Linked DNA regions of Alligator mississippiensis. The protein of the gene in region 2 interacts with the protein of the main gene of each other region in a pairwise test. Links are inferred from orthologs where the notes say so. Each region holds a gene or a part of one and is shown on either strand. Other genes may lie near its edges.

Region 1 (7,631 bases), on a different chromosome or scaffold from region 2:
AGTGATCCAAAGTTGCATAAATCCAGAATGCCATAATTGCTTTTGATTCTTCTAATGGGTAAAAAGTCAACTAACAGTGTTAAATAAAATATTAGTGAAGCATGAAAAAAGGGATTTGCCTTTATATAATTAGAGAGAAAGCCACTACAATGGTTTTACTTTCCCTAAATAAAGTGAGAAAGTACTGATCATCATCATCTGACATATGACAAAGCCAATGCTAGTTTATGACAATGTTACCAGTCATTTGCAAAGGTTTAGGGTTGAAGACTAAGAAAAATACTATGGGGCAAGCACTTTCAGAAATTAACAATTATCACAGCTACACAGCAAAATGATTAGGTTATTTTCACTATACAAATTGTACTTTGGCTAAACCAGCACAACTTCCACGTAGACATTTAATTTGAAAGGAGGCTTCTTTTTTTTTTTTTTAAATGTTACACACGTTTCTAATCAACATAAGCAAACTAAGATTATCCACACAGCCTTTAATGCCATTTCAGCTTAAATCAATTCTTAAAACACAAACCTTCAGTTAAACTGGTGCACTACACGTAAACAAGCTGAAGAATTTAACATAATTAAAGTAAAACCAGCATGGCTGAACATTCTGAAAAGTGGATGAAGTTTAGTTAACCTTACTTAGTTACTATAGAAATGGGAGCCATTTGAAGATCACTTATAGGCAGAAGTGCTTGAATTATATTGTGGTTAAAGTTTTGTGAAGTACACCAGTCCAGAAGTTAGAGAAAACAAGAGAATCATAAAGCCCACAGTCTCCCCCACAGCATATGTAAAAAGTGATCAGAAGTCACGTTCAGGACTTGGTCTCTCAAGTCACCACTCATCCCTGGCCCATGGAGCCATGTCATCCAGTCCACACGTCCAAAAATGTGGTGGTGGGAAGTACTGGCAGCAATTGCCTCTCCTCTGCTGCCAAATTTCCAGACCCATGGGGAGCCACATGAGCCAAACACTGGATTAGCACATGGAAGTGGGTTGTGGCCCAATCCAGCCACACAGGAGCTGGCTACAGGTGGCTAAGGACCGGATCCTATAGCACAGGGTCAAGCAGAGACAGCATGGGGCCCCAATCTGGTAGGGGCTTTAGGGGTGGTAGTGCAAGGCCTTGCAGCACTCATCCAGCCACCCACACCAAAACCAAAACAGACAAATTAATGACAGGTTCAATTTCCAATGTCTGATCTAGTGGCTCACAAGATACAAACACTTTCTCAATTTTCCAAAAGCATCTTACAGCATTTGTTTTTAATATTAAAAGGGTACAGGGACAGTATTCTTTAATGGTTATTCAGAAAGCCAATCTGATAATCACAGCTCTTGAAAATGCAGTTTGCCTTACCTTAACTTTTAAAAGTGATTAAGTATGCATACTAGTAAGTAAAATACTTTTATTTCATAGATTTCATACATTTTCATAGACATTAGGGGATGGAGGGGACCTCATGAGATCATCGGGTACAGCCCTCCCCCGCATAGGCAGGAAGTCAGCTGGGATCAAGTGACCCCAGCAAGAAATAAATCCACCTGTTTTTTGAAGGAGTCCAGAGTAGGTGCTTGCACCACCTCTGAGGGGAGTTTGTCGGCCCCTTGCTCACTGGCACTGGAGCCTGGTGCTGAAACATGTGGCCTGGCCAGCCACGTTTCAGCACCAGGGCGAGGGCCAACCATAGAGATGCTCTGGCAGCAAGAGTGTCTCCATGGAGGACCCAGCCTCCGGTTGCCTCAGGGAGCAGTCAGGGACTATGCCCTGCTCCACTTTTTTAAACATCGATTTTTTTAGACCCCTGGATATCCAGGGGTCTAAATTTTCTCCCTGCACTGCAAACTTGCAACATGGGGAACATTTTTTTGTTCCCACACGTCTGTTGCCCCACCTCAAAGGGGTTTGAGGAGGGGCAAAAGGCACGTGCGCGCTCGTGTGGACGCGCCCTTTGGGTCCAACCCTGTAGCCAGCAGTTGCCTAGCCATCGGACTGTATGATGATCAAGGCCACAGTTCCCCAGCTTAACCATGAGGACATCATGGGAAACTAGGTCAAAGGACTTCTTGAAGTCCAGATATAGGACGTCCATGTCATCTCCCTTGTCCAGGGTGCATGTTACCAGGTCATAGAAAGAGATGAGGTTGGTCAGGCAAGACCTACCAGTCACAAAGCCATGTTGGCTGGCATTCAGCAGCTTGCCATCCATTAGTCTGGCATTAATGGATCCCTTGACAATTTTCTCCAGGATCTAACATGAAAGACCATAAATATGCAACTTAAAACTGACCCGACCAAAGTTCTCTATTCTAAACTAAAAACAAATCTGCTCAAAATCAATCAACAGCTTATCAGTAACCAAAAACAAAACAAACAAAACAAACAAGCCCCCAAAAGACCTACATTCCTCCAAGATGTTAAAAAAATTAACAGTATTTTAAAAAAACCTCACAAGAAAACATATACCCATTTTTCCCTGAAGAAAAACAAGGTAACTATTTAGTAAGTGCTGCCAAAGATCATTAGTTCATCAGTGATAAAAGTTTGTGACTTAAAAACAATGATGGCATCCAACTAGAGGCACTAATGATGCAAAGGCTCATTTATATGCTTAACTTTAAGCAGGTGACTAGTCCTTCTGGATTAACGTGTGCATTTGACAAATGGGGGCCAAAAAACAGTATAAGGTAAATAATGTTCCCAAGATGAAACGTAGTGTACTTAATGGAGTCGCTCCACTTATTTTCATACATATCTGAATCTGAGAGAAACATGTGACTGAAAACAAGTGGAGCAACTCTACTAGGTACAGTACAAAATAAGCCTATAACACTAAGCCTACTTACCCCAAGGGGTAATTTTTCAATGCCTGAAATCTGTCCTAACAGTTTCTTCCTTTTAAGAGTACTGAAGTCTAATTTGAAAGGTACATTAGCATGAAATAAAGCATCAATCATGTACTCCAGGAGTAGAATTCCTTACTATAAGAAATTAATCAATAGCACCCTTCTTCCCTGGCATCTGTTGCAAGTTATAAGCAACAAGGCTTTTACTTTCTAGTTTAAACTCTTACAAAGCAGCTCCATTCCTGCTGGCTTTTTAATACATCAAGGGAGACTAAAAACGTTATTGTGACCCATTTCTTAAAACTCTGAAGTCCAAAAACATCATTCCACTTCATAATGGTGCATACGTTCAAAAAGCCTTAGTCAACTGTATTAAAGCTCTAACACCTAGGGCTACACATTGCCAGTATGGGGCACAATATAAAAAAGTAGTATTTCCAAAAAACCTGAGCTTATGCTTTAAGCAACAGAAAGCATGGGTGATTGGTACCTTTCAAGGAAAAAAAAAAAAATAAAAAAATCAAGCTGTAACTTCCAGTAAGTGTTCAAACATAGAAGTGAATCAGGAAATTCAGACCATTTAGTTTACCATATTAACACATCACTAACTGCACATAATAAATATTTGAGTAATGAATGAGGGTGTAAAGGGGGCTAAAAAGTTAAGTGATCTCAATTTAAAAAATGTAAAGCAAAAAGACTCTACTATTATAAAACTGAGTTGACGTTATAGATTAGTAAAACAAGCTCAATTCGAGGGGTGCTATATTCTCCCACATTAAAAGCCAGAGGTTTAACTCTTAATCCTTGTGATCTCCTTATTTTTAAATATGCCACTTCGTTGTGCGTAATCGTATTAACCAAAACAGCACCCTCAAACTTGACTGAGAAGTGACAAAAATAAATAGACATCAGTTACCTTTTAAGGTACCCAAGGGAAGTCAGCAACTAAACGCTCTCCTCTGCAAAATTAGTTAACACTCACTTGCTTCATTGTTATCAGTTTCAGCAAGGAAAACCAGGTATTTAAAGTTTATTTCTCAAGACCTGACATCTCTACTGACCCAGCCCCTCGCTGCTACCTCTTCAGCCTCTGCTCAGACGGGCGCCCCTCCACACCGCTAATCACCCGCGCTGCCCTTCTCCACCACTTCTTCGACAGCCTTTTTTCTGAAGCGCGGCGGGCACAGCCGGCTACAGTCCTGGTGCCCCCCTCAGCCAGGGGTTAAGCCAGGCACTCCCGGCTCAGCCCGAGGGTGCAGGGGCCGCCGGCAGCCCCCGGCGAGGCGATGGAGCCGGGACACGCGGGACGCCCTCACCTCCGAGAAGTTGACGGCCAGGGGGATGATGCCGGCCACGTAGCAGCCCACCAGCATGGCCAGCGACAGCAGGCTGATGGACACGAAGTCGTCCATGGCGACGGGCCCCGCGCTCAGGTTCCCCCGCGGCGCTTCCAGCGCTGCCGGCCGCGCCGGGGCCGCTTTCGGACCCCGCCCCTGCCCGCGGGGCCCGACCTCGGCCCTCAAGCTCCGGGCTCCATCTTGGCCCCGCTGAGGCCAAGTGGCAGCTTCTCGCTCTGGCGCTTGCTCCCTCCGCCGGATCCGCTTCCGGGTCACCCACCGCCAAGATGGCAGACCTCACGAGGCGCGACGGAAGGAAACGCTGCCTTTAGCAAACATGGCAGCCCGAGTCTCCGCTCCGGAAGCCTTCCCGGCATGCGCAGCGGCGGTCGCCCGCCAATTCTCGCGAGGTGCCTGGGCGGCGCTCTGGCTCTGTGGGAGGTGCTGTCTCTATGGTGAAAGTGGGCTGCAATGAGAAGGGGGAGGGAGGGAAGCCGTTTGGCGGTTGCTGAAGCGTTTCCGGTCGGCGCGGGGGATTGTGGGGGACGGTTGGGAGCTGCTGGTTCGCGCCGGGGGCTGTGGAGAGCGAGTCGCCATGGTGAGGGGGAGGGGGCAGAAGCGGGGGCGCCGCAGGGGCTTCGGCCGCGGGCCGCGGAGCGGGAGGCGGAGGGGCCGGGGGGTGCGGGGCGATTCTGGGGGGACAGTGCCGGGCTGCGCGCGCCATTTCCCGCGTGGGGGGAAGGGCGCACGTGGGGGGGGAGGGGCGGGATCGGGCCCCGCGGCGCACGTGCGGCCGGCAGAGTTTTTCCCGGACAGAAAGGCGGTCCCCGGCGGCCGCGGCCTCCCCGGGGGGTCATGCCGGGCCCCGCTCGAGTCTCAGCTGCTGCCGCAAGCCGGCTACGTCCCTCTGCTCGTTCCGGCTTGGCGCTGCTGCCGTATTTCCGTCCCCAGGCCCGGCCCACCTGACACTCGGAAACGTGGCTCCTGCCGCCGGCCCAGCCCAGCCTCCTGGGCCCCGAGCGCCCCTTTGGAGCAGTACCTGGCTTCTTTAAAAAAAAAAAAAAAAAGTGAAACTTTTTTATAAGAGACGTGCTGCTCCCCGCAGCTTTGGAGCCTGCTGCAGGAAGCCCCTGCTTCTGCTGTGCAATAGGAGGAACTCAAAATCCACTAAAAAGGTCTGCTAGGTAATCCCTGCCTGCACTTGCACTGAAGCGGTTGGCACAGGGTCTTTCCGCCCCACTTCCCTCCCTTGCTTGTTCACTGGTGGCAGTAGTGTAGGTGGGTTGCAGCTGGTAGAAACCTTTCTGCCAGGGTATGGAGCCTGACTGATCCAGCTGTCTGCACCGTCCCAGGTGCTTTTGTAGATGCATACCCAAATAAATGTTTGTCAACTTCCTTTAAACGTAGGAACTGCCACAATAATTCAGACCAATTGTGTAGCCACTGGGTGCTTCTACGCAGGTAATTGATATAACTGTATTTACTGTGGCTCAGTTTGAGCCAGAGTAAACTAATCCCAAAATCACTGTCTACATGTGCATGTAAGCACACTACTTTACTGTGCTGCTGGATACCACTTGTATCTGACTGGGCTGTCGGGTACCGCAGTAAATTAGTCTGCTATTCCCTAATCGCCATGCACCCGTAGATGGTGATGCTTTATTTAGCACAGCAGATTGGTCTGCTGCTCAGTAAAGTGTCTTATGTAGACGTACCCATTTCGCAGTTGTCAAAGGTACAAGAATCCCAATTTTGGGCAGGATTTCCCATCCCGTGTCAGTTTGTTCTGATGTGTGGTGGTGTGGATATACCATCTCTAACTGGGGATAGAGATTTTCATATTTCTAGAAAGGTTTGACCTTTTTTGTCTTAAGCCCCTATCTTATAGCAATGAATTCTGCAGCTCAGTTTAATGGGTTATTTTTGCTTTTTGTGTTGGAAAAATCCTCGTTTCCCAAAGTTGAGGGAAATTGATTGAAATGAATTGGAAGGAATCAATTGTGTGAAAATCGGGAGTTCTTTAGAAAGAGTTTATTAAATGACTAAAAGCCCCCAGTTCCACTACCAAGGAGCTCAAAACCCACCTTACTTCGGTGGCGAATCAAAAGCAGAAATTAGAAACTTAAATCCCAACACAACAAATGCAAAAGAAGAAATAGCAATACAGAAAATGGATATGGGAAGATAGATGTGGTGGGGGAGCAAGATTGGACAGATGATCTCTGGCTGGTACACCAAAATGACAGAGAGAAGCTAAATATTTTAGGAACAAAATAGGAAAATCTAGCAATAGTATAGACGCAATGCTTCATGTAGGCAGTAAATTGTTAATGGTGCAGAAGAGAAGTTTTTGGTAAATATTTTTGCTCTGCATTTTACAAAAAACAGGATGGTATACATTTATGAAAATATATAAATATTTCAGGAGTGTGAAAAAATACTTTCCAGTTAGTAACTGGGGAGGTTGTGCACAGGAAAATAAGGCTGGAAGGGACTTCATGAGGTAATCTAGTACAGCCCCCCTGTTCAAGACAGGATCTTCCCTGACTAAATCATCCCAGCCAAGTCTCTGTCCAACATTTGAGAATTTCCAGGGATGGAGATTTCACAACTTCTCTCAGTACCTGTTTTGATGCTTGACCCACCCTAATAGAAAGTTCCTCCTTTTTTCCAACCTAAATTTCCTTCACTGCAGCTCAGGGCCATTGTTCCTAGTCCTGTCCCCTACAGCTGCAGATAATAGTTTTTCCATCTTCTCTTTAATCATCCTTCAGGTATTTGAAGGCTGTTATCAAATATCAAATCCCCCTCAATCTTCTCTTCTCCAGACTAAATGTCCCCAGTTCTTCCAGTCTCATAAGTCTTGCTTCCCAGGCCACAAATCATTTTTGCCTAAAACTGGACCTGGTACACCAGGTGAGGCCTCGCCAGTCCCGAATGGAAGAATCCCTTCCTTTCACATGCAAGTGACAGTGCTGCTAATATGACATGAAATGCTGGGTTAGATAACATCTCTTAGAATAATCATTTATAAAGGTCTGAATAACTTGCACCCAGGGGGCACATACTCCTGTGTGCGTTTGCTGAAGCAAAAATAGCACATGTTTGTGCCACTGCTTTTAGTGGCTGTGCACGCCCCGGCTCATGGGGTTTGGTGTGGGGCAGAATGCCCCGCTTCAGGGAAATGGCTGTTTCCCCACTCCTCCCAGCTCATGGCATGCTGAAGAGGAGCCAGGGGACACCTAAAGCAGTTGAGACACTCTGGCTGGTAGCCAGAGCATATCCCTGGAGGACCCAGCTTCCAGTTGTGCAGCTTTTTTTGACAGCGTTTTTTTTGTTTGTTTTAATACTGAGAGTTCCCAGTATCAAATTTGCAGCGTGGCAAAGAGTTGCACATGCATCGCATGTGGTATGCTGTGCTTCAAACAGGTTTGAGGC
Region 2 (7,938 bases):
CTCAGGTTTCCATTTCTGCTCCAAAAATGTGGTGCAGCTTAAACACCCCCCACCCCTCAGTGCTTTGCTCTCAATTTAGCACATCACAGAGTTCAGTCTTCAAAGATTTGTTTAGCTTGCAACTACCTGGTTTCTCCAAGATCTTCCTACCTGCAGCAAAACTCGCCCAATATTTCTGAATCCCACCATTGTAGGCACAGAATTCATACAAAATGCCCCCCTCAGTCTAATTCCCATCGTTAACAGCACTTCTACCCTCCATTCACATCCTATAACCTGTTCAACAATGCACATATGCCATGTTAGACAAGTCAGACTATTCAGTTTCACTTTTGTTTCTAGCCTTTTTCACTTTCTGATTTCCTGCATGAGCACGATGATGACTTCTGGTGCTTCAAGGATGGGGGAGGGCATCAAATCACCAAATAAAAAAACTGTTCTGAGGAAATGGTTTGGCAAACTTTTGCCTACAAAAAATAAAAACACAACTTGGACTTTGGGTCTAGACCTGCTATTGGCATCAGCAAAACTTTGATACTAGGAAAAAGGGTGATGGTTACAAACAAATGAAATAAAACACAGGGGGAAGTGTTTTCTCGTGGTTAGAAGAAAAGATCAAGACTAAATTTTTTTAATTGGATTTCTGAACCTGCAGCTGACTTCGGGGTCAGGTAGGTCAGCGATTCTCAACCAGGGTGTGATACCTTAGGATGCCATGAGATCCTTTTAAGGATGAAGAATATTTGTACGGTTGTACGGAATACTGTAGTATTGCACAGCATTCTGCACGACTGTTGCAATGCAGACGATTTGCACGGTTGTACAGAATATTGTAGTGATGCACAGCATTCTGCACGACTTGCAATGCAGAAGATCTGCATGGTTGTACAGAATACTGTAGTATTGCACAGCATTCTGCACGACTGTTGCAATGCAGATGTGCACTGTTGTACAGAATACTGTAGTATTGCACAGCATTCTGCACGACTGTTGCAATGCAGACGATTTGCACGGTTGTACAGAATACTGTAGTATTGCACAGCATTCTGCACGACTGTTGCAATGCAGACGATTTGCACGGTTGTACAGAATACTGTAGTATTGCACAGCATTCTGCACGACTGTTGCAATGCAGATGTGCACTGTTGTACAGAATACTGTAGTATTGCACAGCATTCTGCACGACTTGCAATGCAGAAGATCTGCATGGTTGTACAGAATACTGTAGTATTGCACAGCATTCTGCACGACTGTTGCAATGCAGATGTGCACTGTTGTACAGAATACTGTAGTATTGCACAGCATTCTGCACGACTGTTGCAATGCAGACGATTTGCACGGTTGTACAGAATACTGTAGTATTGCACAGCATTCTGCACGACTGTTGCAATGCAGACGATTTGCACGGTTGTACAGAATACTGTAGTATTGCACAGCATTCTGCACGACTGTTGCAATGCAGATGTGCACGGTTGTACAGAATACTGTAGTATTGCACAGCATTCTGCACGACTGTTGCAATGCAGATGTGCACGGTTGTACAGAATACTGTAGTACTGCACAGCATTCTGCACAACTCTTGCAATGTAGAAGATCTGCACGGTTGTACAGAATACTGTAGTGATGCACAGCATTCTGCATGACTGTTGCAATGCAGACGATCTGCACGGTTGTACAGAATACTGTAGTGATGCACAGCATTCTGCACGACTGTTGCAATGCAGACGATCTGCACGGTTGTACAGAATACTGTAGTATTGCACAGCATTCTGCATGACTGTTGCAATGCAGACGATCTGCACGGTTGTACAGAATACTGTAGTATTGCACAGCATTCTGCACGACTGTTGCAATGCAGACGATCTGCACGGTTGTACAGAATACTGTAGTATTGCACAGCATTCTGCACGACTGTTGCAATGCAGACGATCTGCACGGTTGTACAGAATACTGTAGTATTGCACAGCATTCTGCACGACTGTTGCAATGCAGACGATCTGCACGGTTGTACAGAATACTGTAGTATTGCACAGCATTCTGCACGACTGTTGCAATGCAGACGATCTGCACGGTTGTACAGAATACTGTAGTATTGCACAGCATTTGCACGACTGTTGCAATGCAGACGATCTGCACGGTTGTACAGAATACTGTAGTATTGCACAGCATTTGCACGACTGTTGCAATGCAGACGATCTGCACGGTTGTACAGAATACTGTAGTATTGCACAGCATTTGCACGACTGTTGCAATGCAGACGATCTGCACGGTTGTACAGAATACTGTAGTATTGCACAGCATTTGCACGACTGTTGCAATGCAGACGATCTGCACGGTTGTACAGAATACTGTAGTATTGCACAGCATTCTGCACAACTCTTGCAATGTAGAAGATCTGCACGGTTGTACAGAATACTGTAGTGATGCACAGCATTCTGCACGACTGTTGCAATGCAGACGATCTGCACGGTTGTACAGAATACTGTAGTATTGCACAGCATTCTGCACACCTGTTGCAATGCAGACGATTTGTACTGTTAAGTGTGCAAACACCTACCCAGGATCCCCAAGAGAAACCCAGAGATTTCAAATACGAATCCAAACTGCCTACAACGTTTTGGCTTGTTGTGGGTTTTCGGAGAGGTTTTTTTTTGCAGCAGAGTTGGCGTATGACAATTCGTTCCTTCTAGGAAGAGCGCACACCGACTGCACAGACTTCCTCAGCCCCACAAAGGGTTTTTAAACCAGAAAGCTTGCTAGACAAAATGGTTCCCCACAACTATTTAAGTTGGTCTCGTAAAAGATATCACCTCCAGCTTGTCTGCTGATGTCCTTAGATCAATGCGTGCGGCTACCCACACAGGGGCCCGGTATCATTTCAGCCCCCCCAAACCCGGCTCCTGAGGGGCGCGAGCCTCCCCCTCCCCTGGGCCCGACGCCGCACTCACCAGGCGGCTCCGCCATGGCCGCTGCCGCGCTCAGGCTCGGGGCCGCATCCCGCGGCCCGGCGCCGCGAACATGTCGGCCGCCCGCGCAGGAAGTGCCGCCGCCGCCGCCGCCGGGGAGGGGAGGGAAAAAAAAAAAAAAAAAAAGAGAAAGTGAAAACTGACCCGGAAGTGGTGCTCCACTTCCGCTTCCGCTTTCCCCCCCACCTAGTCTACGGCGGCCCCGCGTTCCATGCCGCGCCTGGGCGCGTCTGCGCACGCGTGGGGGCGCCTTCCATCATGGGGCGTTTGTACACGTGTCTGTGCTAATGGGAACGTGATGGTGGCGTGCTTTTGAATTAAAACACATCAAAAGGTGTTTTAGTTCGAAACTGCGCTGGTGTGTGTGCGTTTTGCTGTTGAGACGCACGCGCCGCCAATGGACATGTTTAAATGCCCACGGGTTTTAAGTCGCCTACGAAATAGGAGCTTGCATTTCTACCTAGGAGAACTTGGGCAATCTTTTTTCCGATGCCTGATGAAGCGGGGGTTGAGCCCGAAAGCTTGCAATTAAAATTTTTTACTTTTTTTTTTGCAAAAATCTGTTTGGTCTAATACAAGATATCACCTTTACTGCGATTTTTATGTCTAAAATAGACTAATGCATATTAAAGCGCACGTATAGATGCGCCCTATGAGCCCTGGGTGGAGAGATGCCCTGTGCCCCCGTGTGCCCTGCCGGCTGGCTGGAGAGGTGCCCTGTGCCCACTTCCCTAATGGTTTGAATTGCTGCTGCTGGTGAAAGTGAAGTGGAGTGGCCTCCCAGCCACGCCTGGTTTGGCCCTTCATGCCCCCTGCCAGCGCGCACACCTTCCCCAGGCCTCTTTGGGGCTGACATGAGAAGGGATGGGGGCACGGCACTGTCTGATACTAATTTGGGTTCATGGCCCACCTTCCCCCATGATGGGGAGGGCTCCTTGGCCAAGGGCAACAGCAGCTGTGCTGCATGCACCCCCCAGCTCTGCCATGGTCCGACGGGGCGGCTGGAAGTGGCTGGGCAGGGCATACTTTGAAAGGCAGTCCCAGTTGATCAAAGGACAGGAGCACGGGTGTGCTCCCCTTCCTGTGAAAAGCAGGCAGCTACTAAAACTTAGGTTCAAAGTCCATTATTAAAAGTATTTTGAAATCAATGATTTTTTTTTCCCCTTCTAGTTTTAAGCAACCTTATCAGCAGTGGCTATTCCCTCCTCCCAGCTGCCCTTTTTCTTCCAGAGAAACTATACTGCAAAGAAGAAACTAGAAAGCGGTGACATTCACTCGTAGATAGTCGTAGCAAAGCTGCAGCGTGGTGATTCTCAACTGGGGTGCCATGAGATGAGGGTGCCACACATTATTTGTATTGTGATGTGTGCAGCTACATCCATGCAAGTCACAGGATAAACCCAGAGATTTCAAATAGAAATCCACAGTGCCCAAATCATTGTGACCTGCTGTGGTGTTTCTGAGTTCTTTGCAACAGAAGAATTGCTCTGTTACTTTTCCAAAGTCAAAAAATGCATGAAAATGAACAGCTGGCACTTTCCGAGGGGGGCCTGGTGTCTAACGAGGTTGATTCTAAAACCGCTGAAATAGAAAAGAGTGGATAAATAACCCTTTTGCCTAACCACCATATAAAGCAGGTTTTTTTGTCAGTCGTAGAGAAAGCTGATCTCTTAATGGAGCAGCTGCTTATCAGGTGGAAAGAGAAGCGAACAACATGAGATTTTTAGTAGTCTTTTGGCTCTGACACCAGTCTTTCCCGTATGATTTTCTCCTGTGGATTTGTAACCAAAGCTTTTTTCATTTGTCCATCATTTTTTAGGGGGGTGCTGCCCCACTGCTTGCTTCCAGGATGGCGGCAGTCACGGCAGGATTCAGTATTGCTTCTTTAAATATCAGCTCTCTGTACCGGGTGAAGGAGGCTGTTGCCTACAAAAGCTTATACCTCTCTGAACCAGCTGGTCTCAAGGTTACCTTGTGCTGCCTTCTGCTTTTGACTGCCTGAAGAATAGATCCCACCACCGAGGAAACACAGCCAGTTGGCAAGTGTTGCAATAGGTTACTTAAGATAAAACATGTCCGCCTGGGGCTGGCTGAACCTGTTCTGCTGGGTATGGTAGGAATCTCTGATTATGTTGCATTTGTACCCCCCCGGTACCTACTAGCTCCAACTGAGATCAGCCCCGTCGGTCCTAAGTGCTGAGATATACATAGTGTGAGAGGGAGACAAGACTGATGCACAGTGGGAGGGAAAAAAAAGAGACCCAGAGAGAGGAAGTGACATGCCCAAGGTCATACTTCAAGCCAGTGGCAGAGTCAAAGATGCAACTGAGCACAAAGATTGTGATGCAAAGGTCTCAAAGTAATCTGCAGCCCATTGAATCTCAGGGACTCCAAGAGGCAGGGAAGTGTTGGCATTCCCCTATTTTTACAGATGACGAGACCATAGCACAGGAAGGAAAAGTGATTTGTCCATGGTCAGACATTGAATCGCTGTCAGAGCTGGGACGAGGCTGCAGGGATTCTACCCCCTTTCTCTATCCGCAACACAGCTCAGACTTATGAGTGCCTGTCTAGATCCCACGACGTACCCAGGTGAGTTCCCCTTGGTGCTCCTGGCCATTCGTATTGAAAGTGATTTCTATATTATGTCATATAGAAATTATACATGTATAAAGTAATTGTGTATATATACCCATGCACATATGTACATGGCCAAGAGAGACGATTTGTGCTTGAGTTGCTGGATTCAAATGCCTAATGAGTCTAGAGACTTGTGATTTTTAAGGTTTGACAAACCCTTGTCTATCTAGAATGGTTTCAACAGGAATGATCCTGATTGGAGAAAGTGGTTGGACTAGTTGTGGCCGCCTGAGTCCATCCCAGTCTTAAAATTTGAATGATTCTGTGTTTCTAATTTTATTTACAAAGCACTTTCCAGGGACTAAATTGCTTGGAGATAAAAAGGTCACTGCAGTTCCCCTGCTCTAGAATCAGATGGTTCAGAAAAACCCATTCAAAAGGAGATTCCCAAACTACCTTTCCAAGGCTGTATGAAGTTTAGCCCACACTTCTCTGTGCCTTTCTTCTGGGACACAGCAGAAGGAAGGTGTACACAGAGGTGGATCCAAGGGGGTGCACTCGTGCATTTACACACCCCTTTAATTCCTGCTTCACCCAAAATTTAAAACCAACTTTCTGGCAGTGGCAGTGGCATTTCTACTCAGGCAGCGTTGAGGGAATCAACTAACTTCATGGCTCATTGTCATCTACTCCATCCCTTCTAAACTCTTCACCCTACAGGTGTTAATGATCTTCTCTTTTTTTATGGTCTCAATGTCTCACCAATCAAGTCACCCTTTGGTCTGCAGTTCTGCTGTCTGCTCACTGCTCCTAGTCATGAAGCTCCTATTTCACAGCCCTGCAGATGGTTTTTACCTCATTCTAATGAATTTATATTTGTTTTTGCTTCAGTCTTAAACTAAATAACGCAGCCATAGGCCCCTAGCAGATTAGTAAAGTTCTGATTTATTTTTACCTGGAGAAAAATATATGTTGTTGTATATGTGTTGTTTTGTATCGAAAGAGGACGGAGCTGGACTGCTCTCAGTGGGGGCAGATGACAGGACAAGGAGCAATGGGCTCAAGTTGCAACAAGAGAAGTTGAGGTTGGATATTAGGAAAAACTTTTTCACAAGGAGGGTAGTAAAATACTGGAGCAGATTACCCAGAGAGGTGGTAGAAGCTCCATCCTTGGAGGCTTTGAAGACCTGGCTACACAAAGCCCTGCCTAGGACGATGTAGTTGGGGCTGGTCCTGCTAGGAGCAGGGGGTTGGACTAGATGGGACCTCCTGAGCTCCCTTCCAGCCCTCATTTGCTATGATTCTATGTGATGATGCACCTCACTATGTGCACCCCCATTTTCAAAATCCTAGATCCACCCATAGATGTATATCACTGCTTTTCTAGGAGAACAGAGAACAACACTGAGGTTCCATGAACTTCTTTCCAAGTTGCAAAGTGCTCTGATCTCACAGCAAGGAGCTTGCAAAAACACACTAGGTGTTTACCTGTGGCTTGTCAATGGGAAGCTGAGCGATAGGATAGATTTGGGATTTCAAGAAATCCCTTCTCCCCTCCTCTGTTTCAAAGCATTTTAACACATTTTTCTGAATGGCTTTGAGTACCATAGCTTTTTGATGACTTCTTGGTATCCATCAGCAAAGAGGATGTAAACAGTTCTTCCGGCTGTTGATATTTTTTTGTGTGTGCCACAATTTGAATTATTCAATTCTTCATGGTAAGGGTGGCCAAAACTTGGAATGGGCTTCCAAGGGAGGTAGTGCTCTTGTAGCATGAACTAAACTAACTAAACTTGTAGCATGAATTAAACCCCCTACCTTGGGGGTCTTCAAGAGGAGACAAGCACCTGGCTGGAGTCATCTGACCCCAGCACTCTTTCCTGCCCAAGCCAAAGGTCAGACTCAATGATCTGTTGAGGTCCCTTCCAACCCTAGCATCTATGAATCTATGAATTTATATACAATATTGGGTATTGGATATACATGCCCCTGTCATATCCAATAAGCTGGATATAAGTCAACAGTGTGCCCTTGTTGCCAAGAAGGCTAAAGGCATCGTGGCCTACATTGGTAGGAGTGTTACCAGCAGATCAAGGGAAGTAATTATTCCCCTCTATTCTGCACAGGTGAGGTCACATCTGGAGTCCTGTGTCCAGTTTTGCCCCCCACCCCTACTACAGAAAGGATGTGGACAACTTAGAGAGAGTCCAGTGAAGGGCAACAGAAATGGTTAGAGGGCTGGGACACAGGACTGGTGAGGAGAGGCTGAGGGAACTGGGCTGATTTAGTCTGGAGAAGAGAAGACTGAGGGGATTGAATAGCAGCCTTCAACTCCCTGCAGGGGGGTTGCAAAGATGGAGCTGGACTGATCTCAGTGGGGGCAGATGACAGG

The links. The genes of interacting proteins can lie anywhere in the genome.
Region 1: the proteins of TASOR2 (region 2) and ERH interact in binary tests that used the Homo sapiens proteins (3 or more experiments, as listed by UniProt). The two-hybrid records come from large-scale screens. The link is inferred for Alligator mississippiensis from reciprocal best matches to the Homo sapiens genes TASOR2 and ERH.

The regions. Positions count from the first base shown.
Region 1 is NC_081825.1:232,523,413-232,531,043, reverse strand, and holds the start of ERH (enhancer of rudimentary homolog), read left to right. Parts: upstream 1-4,629; 5' UTR 4,630-4,645; coding exon 4,646-4,648; intron 4,649-4,689; exon of another isoform or gene 4,690-4,788; coding exon of another isoform or gene 4,789-4,791; intron 4,792-7,631. Other genes in the region: SLC39A9 (zinc transporter ZIP9), read right to left, coding at 4,173-4,268. UniProt on the Homo sapiens protein: May have a role in the cell cycle.
Region 2 is NC_081827.1:6,055,418-6,063,355, forward strand, and holds the start of TASOR2 (protein TASOR 2), read right to left. Parts: upstream 3,056-7,938; 5' UTR 2,965-3,055; coding exon 2,949-2,964; intron 1-2,948.